2 linked regions of the Yarrowia lipolytica genome follow. The protein of the gene in region 1 purifies or fractionates together with the protein of each later gene. This does not show direct contact. Links are inferred from orthologs where the notes say so. Each region holds a gene or a part of one and is shown on either strand. Other genes may lie near its edges.

What was found. The genes of interacting proteins can lie anywhere in the genome.
Region 2: the proteins of YALI1_F08292g (region 1) and YALI1_B19520g purify together in Saccharomyces cerevisiae (affinity purification with mass spectrometry; 3 studies listed by BioGRID, with this or other methods). This does not show direct contact. The link is inferred for Yarrowia lipolytica from reciprocal best matches to the Saccharomyces cerevisiae genes RPB3 and SET1.

The regions. Positions count from the first base shown.
Region 1 is NC_090775.1:821,211-831,936, forward strand, and holds YALI1_F08292g (uncharacterized protein), read left to right. Parts: upstream 1-8,074; coding exon 8,075-8,160; intron 8,161-9,298; coding exon 9,299-10,181; downstream 10,182-10,726. Other genes in the region: YALI1_F08225g (uncharacterized protein), read right to left, coding at 242-1,327; YALI1_F08260g (60S ribosomal protein eL21), read right to left, coding at 4,325-4,799, 5,069-5,079; YALI1_F08284g (40S ribosomal protein uS4), read right to left, coding at 6,684-7,255, 7,545-7,551. UniProt on the Saccharomyces cerevisiae protein: DNA-dependent RNA polymerase catalyzes the transcription of DNA into RNA using the four ribonucleoside triphosphates as substrates. Component of RNA polymerase II which synthesizes mRNA precursors and many functional non-coding RNAs.
Region 2 is NC_090771.1:1,946,598-1,959,102, forward strand, and holds YALI1_B19520g (uncharacterized protein), read left to right. Parts: upstream 1-5,467; coding exon 5,468-6,640; intron 6,641-6,704; coding exon 6,705-9,044; downstream 9,045-12,505. Other genes in the region: YALI1_B19485g (uncharacterized protein), read right to left, coding at 1-1,914; YALI1_B19490g (uncharacterized protein), read left to right, coding at 2,498-3,892; YALI1_B19507g (uncharacterized protein), read left to right, coding at 4,166-4,385, 4,675-4,940; YALI1_B19567g (uncharacterized protein), read right to left, coding at 9,204-10,172; YALI1_B19576g (uncharacterized protein), read left to right, coding at 11,030-11,965. UniProt on the Saccharomyces cerevisiae protein: Catalytic component of the COMPASS (Set1C) complex that specifically mono-, di- and trimethylates histone H3 to form H3K4me1/2/3.

The DNA.
Region 1 (10,726 bases):
CACACAATATTTGCATATTATCGCCATGGTTATGCCAACCCGAGATCTTAGTTTACTTGGGTTTAGTTGGGAACATTAGTAGCCATGTCTAATACTGATTTTGTAACGTGAATGATTAGTATTTATTGGCAGAGTATCAACAGCTGGCTGATAGACACTATGCTCAACGTCCAGCTTCACTAGACCACCAGCTGTCGTATCCGTAGAATCTATATTACACTATGTACAAATTTGGTTCCACTTAGGTGGACAGCATCTTGACAACGAGCTCAAAGGTGCCAAACATGATGATGGAATTGGGCACTGTTCGCAGCAGATGCGGTGTCAGACCTCCGTAGAGAGCCAGGAAGCCCTCCTCCTTGACCACCAGCTTGAAACACTGGACTAGACCGGTGTATTTGAGTCGTCCTCCGGTCTCCGAGGGAGCCTGTCTCAATCTGGTTCGAACAACCTCATGAGGGTAAGTGACGAGCGAGGCCATGAGCTTGGCAGCTCCGGCAGCTCCACTCTGGGCCGACCAGTCCAAAAACGAGTCCAGCGACGTTCGCTTATATCCGTGAATCTGTCTCTGCTTCTCCTTGTTTCGAATGAGCTGCTTCATCTTCTCGTAGAGCACCCACTGCAGGGTGGACTCGGAGGCGCCCAGATACGACGCTGTCAGACCCTTGTAGAGACCTCTGATTCCCTCCGTTCGCATCACCTGCCTCAGACAGTCCCACGAGTTTTTGTACTGTCTGAGATGGGTCTCTGGAGAGGCCTTGTCCAGCTGCAGACGGGTCTTGATGAGCCAGATGGGGTTAGTGCATGTGGATGTGACGATGCCGGCGTTGGCGGCGGCCAGCAGGTGAACCCACGACGCTTCCTTGCCGTCGTTGAACTCCTTGGCGATGAACTCCTTGCCCACTCCGTAGGTGAAGAAGTTGATGGATCTAGAAGGGATGACGCCGACCAGATTGGGCCCCAGACCCTTGAACAGCGCCCGATAGCCCTCCTGTCTGTAGATGTTTTTGAGAATGCTGCCGGTCTCGACAAAGTGCAGCCAGGCGTTTCGGAACGGGCCTTTGGGGTTGCCGTAAGCAGTTCGCATCTCTGCGAGCTGTGTTTTGTAGAAATCAGCCTGTAGACGGGTCTTGACAACGTCCAGAGGACAAGTGAAGACAGCTCCGGTCATGCCTCCGATACCTCCCGCCACAAAATGGACCCAGGGCGAAACCTGGACCACCTGGTCCACGGGCGTCGCCTTGTCTTCCGAAAGCCGCATCGCAGGGTATGTCGCGGAGCCCTCGTCGCTCTCCAGCGTGCTCTTGGGTCGTACGTAGTCCTTCATGGTAAGTGACGTTGAGCAGTTAATCTGGAGATGCAGGATCTTTTTTTTTTTTTTTTTTGACCGAGTTAGTTTAGATTTTTTCCGTAGGATTTTTCACCGCTTAGAGTTTGGAGATGAGAGAGATCAGGGAAGGAAATGTTGGCCGACGAAGCCCATAAAATAGAGCCCTTAACAGAGAAATGTAGTCACGTGACAACCGTGAACACGTGTTTTTAATCCATGTCTTTGGTCTGTCAAATTTCCGTTTTACGCCCCGATCGATCACCATTCTATCCCTCCTGCCAAGCCTTGCGGTTCAGGAAGCAATCATCAGACAGACGTAGTAAGCGTAGGTAAGGGGGAGGGGCTGAGGGATGTTGGAAGGGGTTATGAGTAAGAGCGAGATATTGGAATATTCTAAACTACAGATTATGAATGAACATTTGTCGACAATGCGAAGAAACCGAGCCCAACCGGCTATATCAGGGTCTGTACTCGTCAGTATAACGCAGCTCCAACGGCCAAGCAGGGAAGAAGTTTAAAAGCGAGTGGAGCAATTTTGATACGGGATGGAAGAAGATGGATGGATGTCATGGGACCTGTTCTGCCATGTGTATTTCTGCTGTCACGTGACACGAACCTGAATATGCCAAAAAAATCACTGCCGACGAGCTTTCATCGGTTCTTTTTCGGGGCTTTTGCAACCGGTACTTGTACATACTGTACGTTACTGTGTGTATCTATAGTATGCTCAGTGGATGACGACTTTCCGATCTAAATGTGGGTTTTCGGTTTACCGAGCTCCAAAAAGCCGGGAAACGGCGGTTGATCTTGCGGGATATCCTCATATTTGCTCCATTTTGCTCCACATTCTCTTGACAAGTTGGAGAACTATTTCAGATGTTTCAGAAATTTTCATTTTTTTTGCTCGAAACTTTGACGAACCGTGGAAAACGTTACTGACATGGTGGAGACATGGAGAAAACGCCAGGCGGTAGATCTGGATCTAGAGAACATTTTGAATGTGCGAAAGCTCTGGGAATCTTTATGGAAAACGAGATGAATGGGGCAGTTGTCATGATCACCAGCCAAATAAAGTTAACTTAGACTCCACTTAAGCCTTTGTTGACAGGGTCTATTTGCATAATCAAAATTACGCCCTAATTGGGATGTCTGCTGAAGGGTGAGCGACAGGCCCAACTGGATGCTGGCGGGTGGATGGTGGAATGACGGCGACAGGAGAGGGGTGTAGTAGGCTATAGGCGGTTATAGGGGGGACATTACGATAGTCGGTTATTGATAGACTAAGTGGTTGTCAGGGTTGCGGTATTGAACCCTTGGAGAGATTGGATGGTAAGACGACTGCTGCTACTAAACCCACTCTGTTCATAACCTCTCTTATGGTGGAGGGCTGCGATCAGGTGACCAACTGTTCAAGTGGCTCGCTGTGTTTTATTACTCGTTCTGTACTTGAGCAATGTGTATATCATGTATATAAATTTCCTGTCAGGTCTCTATATGGTGGTTATTGATGGTCCCTTGGATTGCCAGATTTGAAGTTGTCCAGAATACTTTGGAAGTTAGTTGGAAAATAGTTGTTGGGAAAAGTCCACTGGGGGTTCAAGATGGAGGTTCCCGACGTGGCACAGATATATGGAGTATTTAAAACGGCAGCATATGTTGAATATTTTTGAAACTAAACAGTATTGATAACTTTTCTACTGATTTTCCAAGTTGTCTTCGTTATGGAAACAATGGTGTTTATATTTTAGTTGGATTTTTACTTGACTACAGGCGTTAGATTTGGGCGGGAATAAAAGGGGAGTATATTTCGAGCAATATATATATTATATAATATATATAACACCATAGTCTCTATAAAAACTAGTCCATTCCTCTCTAATGGACAGAACTGGCCATGCCACCTGCTCATTAGATTGTGAACTACTTGTAGTGGATAGAGTGTCAGCAGTATCCTGGCGTGTCTCAATGGTAGACATGTAGTAATCATCTGAACGAGGCTCAGGCTTGAGGGGTGGTCCTTAAAGATTGCCAGTGGTAGACAAGGCCATAAGTGGTCACGCCAACATGTACTGCAGATCATGTACCAGGAACGACGGAGAGCTGCAATACCTGATAGCACCGGTGGTCAGCAGGTTGATGATAAATGGTTTTCAGGAGATCCTAACAGAGCCAGAGTGTAACGAAACAGCACCGTTGACCTTGACTCTACCTCGATAGCTGTGGACTAAGTACCAGCGATTTTAATCCGGACTCGACCAGGGACCAGGTATCTTGCCCAAATCTTTCTGGTCTAGCTTGGGTGACTGGTTTCCCGTCGATTTTGAGCGGGCCGCGTCTAACTTCGCCGGACGTTAGCTGCCAGACTACATACAACAGAGGGGCGGTTGAGTCGCCAGTCTCGATTTGTTAGGGGGGAAGTAACGGTCTGAGAGGTTTCGAGTTTCGGATCCGGAGATGACTGCAGATCGACTCGGAACCGGGCGCCCTGTACCAATGGAATGGACTGGGTGAAGGTCCCTCTGGGGATCCATCCGAGTGTTTCAGCCCAACGGCTCTCTGCGACAATCCCGAGTGCGGGTTCGACATCTTTCTGGTGAGCACTTTCACCACCTCAAGAGTGCCTTCAAAGCGATGGCTCTTCCCTCTTCGTAGACCGGCTCAGGGTCGTCAAAAACCATGTGTCGGAGAGTCGGGCCGTGGTATCTGAGCAACGTCTCCTATGCCACTTTCACCGAATTGCCGAACGGAGACTGCAAATGCGAGATGTTACTCCAAGTTGACTGGCATCTCTCGAACTCGTACCACAATCGACACGGTATGTTCCCGTATGGCAACCTCGTTACTTGTCTTACTATAAATCATCGCCTATTGCTCATCTACTGGACATTGGTTAAGTATCGCTTCACTTCACTCACTTCACTCACTTCACTCACTTCACTACAAATACTGGAGTCTCCTAATAAGATACAATTTTATTATGTCACTCTCGACCGCTTAGATGAAAGTCTCGTAAGCAAGAGGAGCAACGGTGAGAGGGTAGTTGGTCTCGTCGATGGCAAGGGTCTTGGCCTCTCGGGTGGCGCCGGGCTGTCGTCGGAGCTGGACAATCTCGTTCTTGGCCTTGGCCTCCTTTCGCTTGAGATCGTTGGCCTTGACTCGGTCAAGGAACTCCTGTCGGCACTTGGAGTGCTTGATGTGCTCGATTCGGAGGTTGATTCGCTTCTCCATGAATCGGTTGCCAACAACCTTGTTGATGATGACGCCAACAGCGGACTTGGTCACGTTGTAGACGATTCCAGTTCGGCCGTGGTAGAACTTGTGGGGCATACCCTTCTGGATGGAACCGTTGGCTCGGATGTCAACAATGTCTCCAACCTTGTAGGTCTTCAAGTAGACGGACATGGGGATAGTTCCGTTCTTCTTGAAGTCCCGAGAGAACATGTATCGGGTTCTGCTTCTGTATCCGTGACTGAGTTAGTGTGAGTCGGTGGTGTGGTTTGACAGACAGACTGTCTGTCTGGGCTGAGCTGAGCTGAGCCGAGCGCGAGACATAGAAGGCACTCCGGGCACTGGATTATCGGAAGAACACAGGCTTCTCCTCGATCCCATGGCCTCTCTAAAACAACGTCCCATAATGCCCCCACGCCTAGCCTCCCGAGTCCGCTCTATTCCCAAACGCCCACTTCACCCTGACAGTCATACTGCCGTCCGTTCATCCCTCAAATCGCAAGAACTTACCTCTTACCCATTGTTGATTATTGTCGTTGACTTGCAAAGAAAGAAAATCAGAGCGTATTTTCCTTTTGGTGAAATTGTTTGTGCAGGTTGGGAGGGGCGCAAATAAGGTTCCGGTCGGGTGTGACTGTTTTTTCAAACTCAGACTAATGTCACGTGATATTTTGGGAGACCACCGAGGGCTACTGAAGGGATAATGGTAGTGGGGAGGAGGCGAAAAACGGAGTGGAATGGTTCATGGACGCTTTGTACGGATGTTACAAAGATTTTCAAGTCGTTATTACGTTTCTGACGGTCAAATAATGGAGTCTAGTATGACCACAGAATTCAACAGACAAATTTGGGTTTCAGGGTGTTTCCCGATTTGGAAGAGATCCCAAAATGCCACTCAATGTGGTATCAAGGGGTGATGGGGTGAGATTATGAGGTCTGAGAGATAGGAGATTGATTCTAAATAGGAAAAAGTGCATATATCGGTTTTTTTGAGTGGATTTTGGACCGTTATTGGGGGAGTTGAGATGAACGGGATTTTAGTTGATATTTTATTGAAGAATCTTATTTTAGTGGGGGATATTTGTTGGTGGAAGAAAGGGAGGTACTTGCTACTTGTAGCTGGCGAGAGAGGGAATTCTGGAGATACTTGAAGTCGTATATTTGTTTAACGACATGTATTGGTGGATATTCTGGGATTTTATTGCTCACAAATCATGTATTTGTACCACTTTGTGTAGTGCTATTATTGGCAGTACGTTTTACCGTATCGCAGGCATGGTGCGACTGCTGGGCCACCCTTCAGGTGTGCCTGGACTGGCTCTTATTAACTAAGGAGGAAGGCCAGGGATTTGGAGCTTCTACCAGAATATTATATGACGATTAGGAATGTACAGTGAGAATTTCAGGCAGATCTGGGCACTATGAGATGTAGAGATTGGGCAGTGGTTTTGCTCAAGTATTGGTTGATTATGTTAACAAATTATGAAGTAAATTATCTGATTCTGCCAACTACAGATTGTAAAAAAATACGAACAGATCCAATCATCGAAACTTGTAGAGTCCAGAACAAGTGACCGCAATGGCCCTCTGCTCACAAACGGAACGTAGAGATTATCAAACATCACCATATCAAGAGTGAGCGTTGTGAGCATTGTGAACATGAAAAGAGCATCAATAACGTCCATCTGAGCCATTGGGATGGGTACAAGTAGGTACCTACGTACAATCACCGGCACCGACCCAAGTTCAAGTACTTTTTATGGCTCTGCTGTACTTGATTGAGAGACATTCCAACTCTGTTTAACCGTCTGTGGAACATTGAATCACTTCTCGGCCCCCCAGAGCGTGTCTGACTACTCTAAGCACCGTCCCGTATGACTCTGGTGATTATTGCAGCAAGACTCGGTTTAGCAAGAGTATGAGAGGGTTAGTAGCCATCGAGACAGATGGAGTGCCTGCCAGTTCTGATGGTCAGAGTTGTCTTGCCAACAATGAACTTGACCATAATCGATCTGACAGTCTACAGTACTTGTAGTCTCCACTTACGTCTACTTGAATTGGGCACACTAAACATGCATTTTTATTAATCTTTCGATACTTTTTGAGCTAGAAAAGAAGAAGACGATTACTCCTCGTCCTCCTCCTCCTCGGCGTCCTCGGAGGCACCCTTCTGGGCGTTCTTTCGCTTAACTCGGCCGGGTCGTCCTCCTCCGTAGGGAGAGTTGAGGGCAAAGTCAATGTGCTTCTGGGACTCGAGTCGAACCATGAAAGAAGGAACGTTGACAATCTGCTTGCCGACTCGGATGTGTCGCTGAGAGATGAGCACTCGGGCGTGGTGGATGGACTTGGCCAGACCGAGCTTGAAGACCTGGGTCTGCAGTCGTCGCTCGAGGAAATCCTCGGGGGAAAGAGCCAGAACGTAATCGAGCTTCATTCGGTCCTCGGGAAGAACACCGAGTCGAACCAGTCGTCGGATCAGAGCGTTACCCTCGAAAAGTCGCTTGGGGTCCTTCTCGTCTCGGGTAAGCAGCTCTCGGGCAGCTCGTCGGATCTTGGACAGCTGGAGACCGATTCGGTAGATCTCTCGCTTGTTCTTGAGACCAAACTCACCGTCGAGCTTGAGCTCGGCATCGAGACGAGCAGACTCGTAGGGTCGGTTGGGGGTGGAGGCGGTCTTGGAGTAGGTTCGGGGGGCTCCTGTTGTTAGTACTGAGCGTAGGAGGCTGTAGGTCGCCGAGCGGACCCACCATAGTGGTGGTTCTCACACGTGACCCTTCACCAGGTATTTCGATTTGGTATCACTGTCAAACGTCGGGGTAGTAGTAGTAGCAGCAGCAAACGATGCTCATAATCACTCTGGCTGGAGAGATTGTACCGACCGATATCGACCGATACAACTCGCCCAGCTGAACAACCATGTAACAAATAACCAACCCCAGTCAGTTATAATGACAGTGACAGCAGTTCGTCATAAGAGTGTACTTACGAGGCATTTTGAGATTCCGTGTTGTCGACTGGACTAAGATGAAAAATGCAAGTTGGGAGTATGTAGGGCCCATGAGTCGGTTGGAAAAGCAGTCACATCATGTGACATGCATAAAGTTTAAACGATAGATGGTAGTGACGATGAGCCCGAATATGGGCGAGACCAAGTGTAATCGTTCAGCGATGTATTTGATGGGATCGTAGCTCATCATTTGGATTGAGTGAATTTATGCCCAAGAAATTTCTCAATTAAAAAAGCTCATAATCTGTTATTACAAGTAAGGTTTTAGATGGAGAGAAGTTTATTTTGTCATAATCTGTGGGCTGAAAAATATCAATATAAAAAAAACAAATAAAAAAAAGGGTCGTAGGTGATTCTACAATAAGGCGTTTCGCCTCATCAATACCGCCGCCGGGTTCGTCACTTTGCCCGTTCTACTCGCCGTGCTGACTATTAAAGTTAATCATCGCCATATTCAATATTCTGCCAGTTGACTCCCAAGACTCTCGACAAAACCAACACATCTCGAAATGGAAGAGGAAACGGGCCCCAAGGTGACCGTGCGAAAGATCGAGCCGGATTCGGTCGATCTGGTGCTTCAGAATGTCGATTTAGCGTGAGTATTACGAGGGCCACACGGCCTCTCGGCGGATGTTCGACGATGGATTGAGAGAGGAGAGAATCGTGTTGTGGGGAGATTGTGCGGGAGACACAGACGTGATACGTTGTGAGGGGTATCAAGAGACACAGACATGATGTCATGTGATGGGAGCGATGTGTGAAGGGGATTCGATGAGGTGGCAAGATGAGATGGTGAAGGAGAAGGTGGCAACTTGATGGATGCCAACTTGATTGGTGGAGTGATTTGCTGCTGAATGAATGTGACTTTCGAGACTAAGGTGTCATTTGGTGACTGTCAAACAAGCAATGGGAGGACGATGTCTACGGTCTGATTCTTGGCCTGGGCCTGGTTCTGATCCTCGTTCTTGTTCTGTTCGGATGATATGTTAATGTTACTCTAAAGATGACCATGAGTTCAGTTGGAATCATTCTTCACACTACCCCCTCGAAACTACTGCTTCAGTGTCGATACCATATGTCAGGCGGGGTCTCCTTAGACATAGACTGCGGTACGTCGGGAGAGCGTGGAGACTGCCATCACGCGCTCTATCAGACGAAGTATTCCCAGGCATATCAGACTCACGCGCTACCCGAGGATATCTTCGTGTAAGCCATTCAACAGATACATTCCACAGATACATTCCACAGATACATCCAACAGATACATCCAACAAACTCAATCCAACTTTTCTTACATTTAACGGGTCCTCCCACTCTCACCTAGATCTGATGCCGTTTAATGCGAGCCAGACTCACCATGACCTCTACCTGACGCCCAGGTATATATACTGAAGTTGCTCCTGGGTTACCACGGCTCATCATCTGACTTTGTTTTGCTGAAGTTCAGCTGAACCCGTCTTTCCATCAGGCGTCACTGTTTAGGTAGTTTGGACCCAAGACTGTCTTTCCACTCGCTGAAATCGAGAGACTGCCTCGTCTTACGTGTTTTTGCCTGAAATGACAGGTTTTGTCGGTCTCTGGAATCTAGTGTTGTTTCAATGGGATGATATCATCACGTCTTCTGCTTCGCTCAAGGAGAAAACTTCCTGTCTGCCTAGGAATCACGTCCGTCTCTGAGTCTCCTCACTGGCTCTCACTGCTCGAAGCGCAAGTGTTCACTCTTACTAACCCAGCCTTGCCAACTCTCTCCGACGAGTCATGCTGGCCGAGATTCCCACGCTCGCCATCGACCTGGTCGAAATTTCCACAAACACCTCCGTGCTCGCTGACGAGTTCATTTCACACCGTCTGGGTCTCATTCCGCTGGACTCCCAGGACGTGAACGATCTCGAGTACAGTCGAGACTGTGTTTGTGACGAGTATTGCGACAAGTGCTCCGTTGTGCTCATGCTGGACGCCACGTGCACTGGCGACGACACCATGGACATCTACTCCCGTGATCTCATGGTGCACACTACCCCCGAGCGGCCCGAGCTCGGCAAGCCCATCTACACGGACCCGGCCAAGAAGGGCATTCTCATCTGCAAGCTGCGTAAGAACCAGAGTCTGCGCATCAAGTGCATTGCCAAAAAGGGCATTGCCAAGGAGCACGCCAAGTGGAGTCCCTGTGCGGCCATTGGCTTCGAGTACGACCCCTGGAACAAGCTCAAACACACCGACTACTGGTACGAGGAGAATGCCGAGGAGGAGTGGCCTCTGAGTAAGAATGCAGACTGGGAAGAGCCTCCCAAGGAGAACGAGCCGTTTGACTACAATGCCAAGCCCAACAAGTTTTACATCAACGTGGAGGCTACCGGCGCCCTGACGCAGTACGAGGTGGTGCTGCGAGGCATGCAGGTGCTGCAGAAGAAGCTGGCTGAGGTGGTGATGATTCTGGGCGATAGGGACGGCGCCGGTGGTGCTGCAGGCCGAAACGGAGGCCAGACTCAATATGGAAATGAGACCCAGTACGGAGGAGGAACCCAGTACGGAGATACTCAGTATGGAGGACCTACGTTTGGAGGTAATGACGAGGGATTCAAGTCCGAGTATGGGACCAATGGAGGGTGGTATTAGAGGAGGGAATATGAGGACCTAGTCCCTTTTTTGCCGATCCAGGACAGATATCCTGGAGAAGTTTCGAGTGGGAGAAGTCATTTCAGTGAAGAGTCGAGCCCCCCACCATGGCAAACTCCGACGAGGAGATGGATAGCATAGCTGGAAGTGTGGACCCAATCTATCTCAGGTACAAATGTCTGGGTCGACTGAGTACTCGTACAAATATTGGAGGAATGTGTAACTATAGGAAAATTAATTATTACAAGAATGCGATGTTTGTACCGACAAAGACTGCTTCTATTTCGAGTTTTTGTGTGACAAAGAAAATGACCCGGCTCAGAATTGGCAGCGCTTCCCGTTGATAGTCATATTATATAGAAGTACAAGTATTCTTAAGTACATACTTGGGTCTACTGCCGTCTGTTCTAGTGTCCCAACCAAACTCAAGTAGATGAGAGATGTTCAATTTGCTTCAGACGGCTCCAGTCGCATTATTTATATTGTAATGTACTGTTTTGAAAGGTCTTAATGATAATTCCATCTGGGGGATACATTATGTGACA
Region 2 (12,505 bases), on another chromosome or scaffold:
CCACGTGCTGCTACCAGACTTGCCTGTAAATCTTTTGGGGGCCCAGATGGCAGCGGGAGAAGTAGAGGGGGCCGTAGAGCCATTGCTGCTATTATTGTTGGTTGATGAAGCATCGTTAGTAGTTGTGGGGTTATTCTTGGCTCGGTCGGCGGAAGGTCCAGTAGGGATCCCTTTGGGTCGTTGTCGCTGCTCCTCCAGCTCCTTCTCTTTGGCTCTAGCCTCGGCCTTCTTGGCAAGCTCCTCTGCTCGCTTTCGAGCCGCCTTGCGTCGCTCTTCCTCAACGCGCTGTTCCTCTTCCTTTCGCAGCTTAGCCTTCTCGCGAGCTTGACGCATGGTCTCTTCCTGCTGAGCCAGAAGAGCGGCAGCAGCATCCATGGCAGGCTGGGAAGGAGCAGCAACTGGAGACGCTGAAGCAGAAGCTGGAGACGCTAATGCTGTAGCAGGAGCGGTAGGAGCAGCAGGGGAAGTGTCAGCGACAGCAGGAGAGCCTCGAGGACTTGCAGGAGTCACATGTGTGCTTCTAGGCGAAGCCATTTCGGCACGAGTGATCTGGGGACTTCGGCGGGCACCCGACGGCTTGTAGTTTCTGGCGTCCCCACTCTCCATGGCCTCGACCTTTCCACTCTGGTCGTTGTAGAGCTCTCTGCGAGGGTTGTAGTCGTTGGAAAATCGATCATACGAGTCGTATCGCATGGCTCCAAACGGAGATCTTTCAGGTGACAATCTCCCTCGTCGATCGTAACGGTCTCCACCTCCATATCTATCTCCCCCACCGTAACGATCGCCACCACTATACCTGTCACTACCGTAGCGATCTCCTCCGTAACGATCTCCTCCGTATCGGTCGTTCCCATATCGGTCGTTCCCATATCGGTCGTTCCCATATCGGTCATTCCCATATCGGTCATTCCCATATCGATCGTTCCCATACCGGTCGCTTCCTCCGTATCTATCGCCGCCTCTCCACTTGTCGTCAAAGAGTGATTGCCGGCTCGAGCTTGTCTGTGTCTGCTGAGCCTGGGCTGCTCTCTTCTCCTCGTACTCCTTGAGCTGCTGATCAATGGGAACGTAGTTTGTCGTGGAGATGGGTTTCCATGCTTGTGTGGGTCGCGATCCGGTCGCCACCTTGGGCAGATCCTCCGCAGGCTCTTCCACCTCTGTGGCTGCCTCGGGCATATCGTCTGCCCAGTCTTCAATGTCGTCATCTTCTGCCCAGTTGAATCCATCAGCTGAGGGCTGTCTGTGTCGCTGGGCCAGATGGATGCCCAGCTTGACGAGCTCCTCCTCGGGTAGGTCGCTCATGGATCCCTTGCGCTCGTCTTGTTTCTGCTGCTCGGGCTCTGGGGTAGCCACTGCCAGCACCGGCTCCTCCTTTCTCGGAGATGCTATTCTGCGCCAGACCCCCTGTGCGGGTGAGCCAAATAGCGGCGACTGGGTGGGCTTGGGCGACGCCGAGTTGTCCCGCTTGAGAGGAGCCAGCTTGAAGTGGCCGGAAGAGGAAATCTTGAGAGAGCCATCTGTGGATGCGGCAGTGGCAGTTGTTTTGTTAGCGACGTTCTTGGAGGGCTGGGGTAGTGAGGGTGCAGTATCCGACTTTTGTTGCTTGAGCCAGTTCGCCAGCGACTGAGATTGAGTATTGAATGGCTTTTTGGGCTCCTCTATAGGTGACATGTGGTCGTGGTGGTGTGCTGTGTGATACCAAAGGTTATGGGGTAAGTAATGAGAGTTGTGTGGTGATGATTCAATTGGGAAGTGTGTGAAATGTGGACACGGACTTATACCGGGTCTTGGTAAGGGTTTACTGGGACGAAGAGCGGCTTGTTGGGCCCAGAAAGAGGCTTTATGGAAGACCCAGAAATATTCTCTGCAAGTGGGCTTTTTGGTTCTATATATTAATAACCCGCCACGTGCCATAGCCGACAAGTATGTTGCAATTTTGGTTCCAGACTCACTGTCTCCCTGTCGTCATGCGTCGGGGGAACACAAGGGTGATTGTAAATTGGGTGAGCCTTCCCCCTGGGTAAATTAGCTACTTGTGGTGCGACCAATTCGAGTGTCGCGTGGAAGGAGATATATGGGTACAAGTACTTGTCAATATATAGAGCGTGTGTAAAAGGATATTGAAGCGATTGCCAATACTTGTACAGGCACTTGTACATGTCCAAAAATACCGCCTCAGAATTTAAATCTCCTGTTATGCACTTGCAATTGGCTGTGTATATGTACATGCTCAGTCTTTAACGAGAATCGGTATAGTGTTTGTACTTATACAGTACAAGTAGTTCACGGGAAACCAGATTGTAGTGGTGAGAATCTGAACAGGGTGTATATTAGCCATTGGGAGGCATATACTGGCAGCATCAGTCAACCGCCAGCTTTTTATCAGCCTGTTGAGTCATGTGTCATCAGTCAACTTGTAGCCGCCACACCATAGTAAGCACTTTCAAGTAAGCTTATCTGATCATGCATCTAAATAGTGACCTCTGACAGCCCCGCCATGATCCGATCAGTTCGCCACCTATCGACTCTCAGATCGACTCCTCGTGTCGCTGTCGTTGGAGCAGGCCCTGCAGGCTTCTACACTGCGCACCGGTTGCTCAAGCTCCAGCCAGACACCAAGATCGACCTTTTTGAAAGCCTGCCTGTGCCTTACGGACTGGCTAGACATGGAGTAGCACCGGATCATCCGGAGGTAAAGAACTGCCAGGACACGTTCGACGAGGTTGGAAACGACCCCCGTGTCCAGTTCTTTGGCAACGTGACTGTCGGAGACACCCTACCTGTGTCCAAGCTCAGAGACAACTACAATGCTGTGGTTCTATCTTACGGCACCCATACAGATAGGAAGCTAGGTATTCCCGGAGAGGACCTGCCCGGTGTCATTTCTGCACGAACGTTTGTCAATTGGTACAATGGTCACCCCGAGCATGAAAGTCTCAACCCTCCTCTCCACAAGGCCGAAACAGTGACAATTGTGGGAAACGGAAACGTGGCTCTGGATATTGCTCGCATCCTGCTATCCCCTCTCGACCACCTCAAGTCTACAGATATCACACAGCAGGCGTACGAGACGCTCAAGACGTCCAAGGTTAAGCGGGTGCGAATCATGGCCCGACGAGGACTGCTAGAGTCTGCATTCACAATCAAGGAGATCCGAGAACTCTTCAAGCTGCCCGATACAGGCTTTGTCGCGTTTCCTCATACGAAATGGGACGATGTGCTAGCTGCCCACAAGAGCTACAAGCGTCCTCTTTCTCGAATTGTCAAGCTCATCGAGGAGTACAATCTCAAGGCCAAGCAGAGGGACCCTGCTCATGCATCCACCCTCAAACAATGGTCATTAGACTACCTTCTTTCACCCAAGGAGGTGATCGCGAACCCCGACGACCCCGAACTCGTCAAGACTCTTATCGCTACGGAAAACAAACTTGTTTCTGCTGACGGCTCTGGACGAATCGGAGTGGAGCCTACTGGTGTTACCGAGAGCTTCGACACCGACCTGATCTTCACCAGTATCGGATATGCATCTACTCCTCTGGAGGGCATTCCTTTTGACGACCGAAAAAGCGTCATTCCGTCTTCTAGAGGCCGAGTAACTGACAATGGGGTCTACGCTGCAGGATGGGTCAAGAACGGACCCACCGGTGTGATTGCCACCACTATGGCAGACTCATTTGACACAGCACAGGCTATTTCCGACGATATAACCGCCGGCAAGCTTGATGGTGCCAAGTCTGGTTCCGATAACCTCACCCAGTATCTTGAGGATGCCATTTCATGGGACCAGTGGAAGAAGCTGGAGGCCCATGAACACAGCCAGGGTGATGCCGCAGGTAAGCCCAGAGAAAAGGTCAACAATGTTGCCAAGATGTTGGAGATTGCTCGACAGTGATGTGTCTGTAAATAGTAATAACATAATGAATATTTGGTACAAGTATCTGCAGCAACACATCGGTATTTTTTTTTTCAGCTACCCAACGAGCAGTTCAAGTAACTTTCTCAACTAAAACTTCCAAGTAAAAAGATGCTCGATATTATTTTAAGCTCGTCCAGTCCCAGCGCACCCTAACCCACCAGCCAACCAATCATGTCGCATGCTATTAGCCAACTGCAATATCAAGGTCTAAATCGTTATACCACCAGACACCAAATATCACACAACACAATGCTGTCTCGAAGCCTCCGTCAGCTGAGCCAGCCCTCCGTGCGATCTTTCGCCACCTCCGCCCGACTCCTCCAGAAGAAGGATGTCCCCGAGGTCGGAGTCAACCTCGACAACGTCCCCGCCCATGAGATTGTCAGCGGAGCTCCTGCTGAGCTTTCTCGAAACCGAGTCGTTCGAATCTACCAGCAGGCCAAGCCCGCCACTCAGAGCGGAGAGTACGGTGAGTATTACAGATTCGTTTAAGAATTTGAGATGAAAGGGTGGAGTTGATATGAAGATTTTGAGACGGAGTAAAGAGGAGGGATTAACAGAGGAAGGAAAAGTGGACGGAAGGGTATGGCTTTGAACCAAAACTGTTTAAGCTGTTGTGCTTGTCATGTCTCTGTCTTTTTCTTCATCGCCATGTTAAATACTCAGGTATACTCTGATATTATTCATGATGTCAAAGCACACACCGTCACCTGAACATGAACTGGTTTCGTCTATCCAAACACGCGTACTAACAACAGGAACCTTTGCCTGGAGACTCGACTGGGACATTGTCGACGTTGCTAACAGATGGGAGAACGATCTGATCGGATGGCAATCTTCCGGCGACTACATGCAGGCCACACAGATGAAGTTCACCAGCAAGGAATCTGCCATCAAATTCGCCAACAAGCAGGGCTGGGACTTTTACATCCAGGAGCCTCACCACCGAAAGTTCCGTGTCAAGCAGTACGCCAACAACTTTGTCCACTCTTACGGCAAGCTCAAACACATTCGAACCAAGTAAGGAAAGAAATGCATAGATATTGACAGGCTCAACATTTGTAGTTGTTGCTACCGTATATACCTGTAGTAAGTATATCGAACTCCATGCACAAGTTTTTGTTCTTTGAATGATGTACTTACAAGTACAGTATAGGTGTTGTAGTATGTGTACATACTGTAGTCTCGATTTTCTGGTGATTATTTACAATAAAGTGTATTGGTACTACTTGTGGTACGCTAATTAACAATGCATGATTGTTCAAGACGACGTGTAATTATGGTCGCCTCTTTATCGCACGAATGTATCTATTGCATCTTCCTCATAATAGCCCAATTAGTCCATTCATGTATTTTTACCACAAACGACTTTATATAACTCGAATATATTCCTCTGCACTACTCGTACTGTAGTCTACTCGTAGTTTTTCCGCCTACCCTTCCTCACTAACTGATAAGGTTCATAGAATGGAAATAATGATGCACCACGTCCAGTGACTAAATTGGATCCCCCACACGCTCATCACGAGACTCGGAAAAGACAAATCTTGGATGGCGAACGGCTCAGATACAAAGCCCGTGCCGAAGGGGCCTCGTGGTGCTCGTGCGGACGACACTCGAACGCCCCCACATCCCGACCGACGGGGTTCGGACCGCGACCAATATTTTTCCAAAGACCGCAGTTATGGCGGCCGTACGGACCGTGACTACTCAGACTATGATCGTGCTTACCCCCCGCCACGGGACTATGACCGGTACGGCGGTGGAAAGTACGGCAAGTATGACAAGTACGACAAGTACGATCGGTATGACCGCCTCGACTCACATGACTATCCTCCTCGTCGCGACCGCGACTACGACAGATCAAGAGACGCGCGGGACACAGATTCCAGAGACTACGGACGTCTTCCACCTCGGGATACTCGCCCACCACCTCGGGGAGGCCGTGAGTACCGCTACGCGAGAGACGAGCGTGGCTGGGATAGAGACCGACGAGACCTAGACCGAGATCGAGATCGGGACCCGCGTGACCGCGAAAGAGATGCACGTGATCGAGACAGAGATCGGGATTTTCGTGACAGAGATCATGACCCACGTGATCGAGACCCCAAGGGCTACCGACCACATTCCTTGGATCCTTTGCCCTCTCGAGACCGTGATATGCCTCCCAGAGAGCGAGAGAGAGAGCTAGTGCGAGAAAGAGATCTGTTCTCCAGAGACCGGGATCTGATTACCGGTGTTAGAGAGCTTGCCCGTTCTCCACCTCCTCCACTACGTGATGGACGAAACCGAGACCGCTCAAACGACAGACACGATAGATCTTTTGACAAGCACACCAGAGACCGAGGCACGAGGGACAGAGACACCAAGGAGAAGGGATCTGTAATCTCGACACCTCAGACTGCTCCAACTCCAAGATTAACCCCCACCAACGGAAAACCGGATCTGCCTACCTCTCAACCGCCAGCTCCTCCTTCTCCACCACGGCTCAAAACCTTCCCCAAAGAAGTGTGGGAGACAGTGGGCAGGAAAAACAACACAAGACTAACTTACGATCCCGAGCTTTCCAAGGATAAACAAAAAGGCAAGAGAGGCATTTATGAGGAGGTCAAAAAAGGAGCATCCACAACTGAGGATCCTCGAAGCAAACATCCGCATTATTTCAAGACTTCCAGCAAGTCCAACAAAAAGCCGTATCAGAGATTACCGGTGCCCAGATTTCTGGTGAGTATGAAGCGATTGAATCTAGCACAATGGAGGTTTTCCTTTTGATCACTAACTAACACAGTACGACGCAAATTCTATCGCACCACCTCCATCAACTCAGATCATTGTCAAGGGTCTTTCTTCACTAACTACCTCTAAAACTATCACTGCCCATTTCAAGACATATGGTGAGCTTGAAGCCGTCAACATGGTAGAGGACCCTGCTACAGGTTCTTCAGTGGGAGCATGTCTGGTTCGATTCAAGGTGACGAAAAACAATTACGAGGCCGCCCATGAGTGCCTCAAAAAGGCCATCCGAGGCCAAAAAACAGGACGAATTGACCAGGCCAAGTACAGAGTGGAGCCAGATGAGGATGGAGCCAAGGCCAAGGATATCATCAAAAGAGTGGCAGCTCGAGCAGCTAAGAAAGCCATGCCTGTCAAGCAGCCTCCTACTGCACCTGCTGCAGACAAGTCCATCATGGAGAAACTGCCCACACCTGTTCCTTCAGCTCGGCCATCTCCAAAGGCAGCGCAGTTGATGAAAACCAGCGCATACATCTTCATTGCTGGTAAGTACCTACCGTCAGAAAAAGTGTTTGCATCTGATATTCGTCGGATTCTGCGTGACTTCGGCTGGTTTGATGTTCTCAAGGAAGGAGATGGTTTCTACGTTTTCTTCGACAACAACAGGGATACTGTAGAATGTTACGAGGCCATGAATGGCAGAAAGGTGAATGGCCACCAGATGGCTATGGCTATGATTCGACTTTCTCGAGTTGCTCCCAAGACCAAAGAGAGCGAGGAAAACGCCACCGAGCAGGCCCCCAAGCTCCCTCCTAAGGAAGAGGCCCGGAAACTCATCGTACAGGAGTTGGCCAATAGTCTCCGTAAGGATATTCGGGAGCGGGTAATTGCTGCAGCCATTGTGGAGTTTCTGAATCCAGCTCGATTTACTCATATCAAGCAGGATCCTGAGCCATCTGCCGCTACTGAACCCAACACTGTTAACGCCAGTGCCGCTCGAGTAGATACTCCCGAGCCTGTGCAATCGTCTTCTGCGATCCCAGGTTTCCTTCCTCGGTTCAAAATCAAGCGAAAGGGTGATCCGACCAAGAAGAAGGATGCCACCAAGAAGAACCGAAAGAAGATATCTGCTCGTCCCATGAACCACGTTCTCAACGACTACTACTCGGATGAGGAAGACAGCACTCGAATGTCGACTCCCATTGTCCCTGATACCTCCGCTGACGCTGCCGAACTTCCTATTAGAAAACCCCGCAAGAAGATCAGTCAGTCCAAGCAGCGAATTATGGACTTCAGCAGTTCTGAAGGCTCGAATGAGTCCGAGGAAGAGGAGGAAGTGGAGGATGATATGGAAGAAGAAGAGGACGAAACTGCGCAGGAGGAACTCCAAGAAGCATCGACTCTCGATACTTCCCAACAACTTACAACTGCATTCGGCGAGATTCTCGACTGGGCTCCTGCTCACGGTTTCCCTCAACCTGTAACAGCCGACAAAAAGGGTGGTGCTCTGACTACCATATCAGGTTTCCAGGCGCTGGTTAAGGACGACGAAGATATGGAGTTGCTCCAGGAGGCCCTGGAGGGTATTGAGCCTGAAAAGATCAACGGAGAAGCATGGACGTGGACCCATAAACATCTCAACGAGGCTGTAGCCAAGGAAAACGCAGAGTTCCCCGAACTGGCTGCTCCCAACGCGTTTGTTAACTCCACTGGCTCATGGAAGTCTCAGGGATACTTCAAGATCCCTGAGGCTGCCAAATCCGAATACCTGCCTCACCGAAAGAAGCTCAACATCCCCATCGACACGCTTCAAATGGAAAACCGAGAGAAAAAGAAGGAGAACGCCTCCAACTCGCGAGTTAACCGTGCCAACAACCGGAGGCTGGTGGCAGACATCAACATGCAGAAACAGCTGCTGTCCACCGAAACCGATGTGCTCAACTTCAATCAGCTGCGAAAGCGAAAGAAGCCTGTCAAGTTCGCTCGTTCAGCTATCCACAACTGGGGTCTCTATGCTATTGAGCCCATTGCAGCCAACGAGATGATCATCGAGTACGTCGGAGAAGTTGTGCGACAGGAGATTGCCGACTTGCGAGAAGCTCGGTACATGAGGTCAGGTATCGGATCTTCATATCTGTTCAGAGTTGATGAAAGCACTGTCGTGGACGCCACAAAGCGAGGAGGTATTGCTCGGTTCATCAACCATTGCTGTACCCCCAGCTGCACGGCCAAAATCATCAAGGTGGAGGGTCAAAAACGTATCGTCATCTATGCCTCGCGGGACATTGCTGCCAACGAGGAGCTCACATATGACTACAAGTTCGAAAAGGAGATTGGAGAAGAGAGGATTCCCTGTCTGTGTGGCGCACCTGGCTGCAAGGGATACCTCAATTGATAGCACCAGTAATGTATTTTTATCATGTCTAAAACAAGTACTGTATCCGCGAGTGTTTGCACTCGTATGCTATTCTATAGACTTCTTCTACATGTAGCACAAGCACAATACAATAGTACCATTAGTTCCGCCAATTAGTCTATACATGCTTATATCCATCTACTCTTGCTTCGACAGATCCAACGCGTTCTTAATCTCGTTGAGTCCAACTCCAGTACCCTTGCCCACAAAAGAAAATCCAATAAGCGTGTCTTCCCGGCCACGCACAATCTGCAGCCGAGAGCCCTCACGGGTGCTGGAAGTGGCAGCCTGCTCAACCTCTCCTTGGACATCTGCTAACAGCACACTGGCAGCATCTTCAGAGGTGTCCATCTCGTCGTCTTCGTAGGCATCAGTCTCTGGCTTGGGTTTGATGAACCCGAACGACCGACTGCTGTGAATGTCAAGGTCGTCGACCGGAATTGTGGTAAAGTCGTGGGTGAGAGTGATTCGTCCGGTATCTTCATCAATCTCCATCAGAGGAATCTCTGTATCCTTCAGAGCAGCCAGAACAGCAGCCCATACGTAGTCCTGCACAGGTCCGTTACGACTCAGGACAGTCACATTGGCATGCAAACACAGGTATCGCTTCTGGTGCTGGCCAGCGTCAAACACGGCCTCGTCTTCCTGTCCCTCCTTCAGAAAGTTCTGGAGCTCGAAGAATTGTTTGTTTGCCTTGCAGGAGAAAATGCCCTTTTTGAGCAGATCGGTAGTCTTTCGGCTCACCACCTGCTCCTCGTCGCTGGGAGGCCCCCCCATTGCTGCACTGCTTCCGTTTGCTCCTCGCAGAACCTCGACGTTAACAAAGATTCCGCCCTCTTCCTCAGACACAGATCCGGTAACACCACACACAATACTCATTCCATCGGCCTGGATCAACGAAGAGCCCCAAACCAGAGACGCAGACTTTTCGTCGGATCCCACGGGCTTCTTAAGACCGCCCAAAAAGTGGTTGATCTTTCGGTGTTGTGTGAAGGCTCGGTTTGTAGCTGGTCGCAATCCTTGGTTGAGATGTCTGTGTAGATATAGATCGGGCACAAGTCTCGAAAATACCTCCGAAGGGTATGTGATTGGCTCCATATTCGTCATGTTGTGTGTCGTTCAGTGTAAATTAAAGATTCTTCAGGCGTTGTGCATGATACGAAATATATTTTCGACGTAAACTTAGTTGTGGCTCGTCATGTGTAGGTGAGGGGTGTACATACTGTACATACTGAACAACATGATGGTTATAATATTGACATTGAAACGGAAGAACCGAGATCAAAAAAATATAAAAATATCGAGGGTGCTTGGAATGTGTCTATTCAAAAAAAACAACAACAAAAAACTCGAAATCTGCTCTCAGATATCTCCATTATTACAATACCTTTTCCAAGTAACCTTGAAAGAAGTAGTTGAAACTTGTGGGATTTTAGTTTGAACGTCTAGGGCCATCATCGTTGGACTCTTATGCAAAAAAAGGACACTTATGAAATATAAAGACAAGGGCGGTAGCTGTTACAGTTCTTTTTGGGCCCGGTCTGGATATCTGGCATCTCTATTTCATACCTTGAACGACAACATTGTCACTCTCATGTTCAAACAGCCACGTGATCGCATGACTCCTCGGCTATTGGGAGTGACCAGCGATGGGCTGCCGGTTACGGATGTACATACTTGTACAGAATGTGGGGTGCATGGCGTGACTTAACATGTACTTATAGAATCACCTGTCTTATATTGCAACGTTAGAACGCTCAAGTAACCAAATGTTCTGATTTTTTTTTCCAGCTCGCACCCTATGATGTCACTCTTCCCTCTCTGTGCTATTTTAGACTTTAAACCTCCATCACTCACATCTCATCTGCATCCCTGAGTTTGGTCCTTGCTCACTCTCGGAAAAACATTTCATTTAAACACCTATCTTTAACTACAACTCTCTTTCTGACCCCAAATCACCAACCATGCAAATCACAATTGTCGGCTCGCTCAACTACGATCTTGTCACCATCTCCAACAGACTCCCCAACGCTGGGGAGACCATGTTCTCCCAGGGCTTTGAGACCCACTGCGGAGGTAAGGGAGCCAACCAGGCTCTTGCTACTGCCAGACTCTCTTCCAAGGTCCCTGATGTGAACGTCAAGATGTACGGAAAGGTCGGCAAAGACAACTTCGGTACTCAGTTGAAAAACAACCTCAAGGATTCTGGCGTGGACGTGTCTGCCATCCACGAGCTCGACACCAAGTCTGGAGTGGCTGTCATCTTTGTGGATCAAGACTCTGGAGAGAACCGAATCATGGTCTACGCCGGAGCCAACGGCGAGTGGACTGAGGCCGATCTCACTGACGATCTCTTCGACACAGACATGCTCATCTTCCAGAACGAGATCCCCATCGACATCGTCTACAAGGCCATCGAGAAGGCTGGATCTAAGAAGCCCAAAGTGGTCTACAACCCCAGTCCTGTGGACGAGCGAGGTAACATCCCCGCCGCCGTTCTCAACAGCATAGATTTCCTCGTGGTCAATGTGACGGAAGCCACTCTCATCTCTGGCGTCGAAATCAACGAGGAGGCATCGAAGGAGGAGATCTGGAAACAAGCTGACCAAGCTGCGGATACCCTGTTCAAGATGGGAATCAAGGAGGCCGTTGTTGTCACTCTGGGAGGTAACGGTGTCATTTACAAGACCAAGACTGATTCTGGACATGTTCCTTCTAACAAGGTCGAGAAGATTGTCGATACTACTGGTGCTGGAGACACTTTCCTTGGAGGTTTCTCCACTAGCATTATCCAGGGAAAGACAGTCTCCGAGGCCATTGCTTTCGGAAACAAGGCTGGTGGTATTGCTGTCACTCGACGAGGTGCTGCTGAGGGTATCCCTTACGATCATGAGCTTTAAGCACATTTTAGACTAATAAAAATGAAATATAATGAATCCATGGTTGGTAAAATCGAGGGAACACATAACTGTATAATCTAGTCATTCAGGTACAAGTATAGCTTTTTGTTTTATTCTTATGATCCATTACTAGTTTTTTTATTTTTATTCTACATTTCCCAAGGTTACACAATGACCTTGCAACGGTGACTAAGCAGCCGAGTTACCGGCCAGTTGCAGCCATATCCTGGTGAAAATACGGCTTCCCGTCCGATCAGCCATAGTCAAGCACCAGAGAGCCTAGTTAGTATTGTAGTGGGAGACCATACGAGAATCCTACAGTAGGTGCTGCAATTTTTTTGTAGTGTTCTTTTTTTAGGCTAAGTGCTTGTCATTGGTTGGTCATACCTACCTCTACAGTATGTAGAGAGGTATGTATGCAAGTAGTTACCTCTACTCCTACTGTACTGGCAGTGGATGAACGAAGATCTTGAGGCTTGCTCTGACGTTCATGAAGTAATATAACCGACTACATCATGTACTTGTACCAGTCCTTGTACT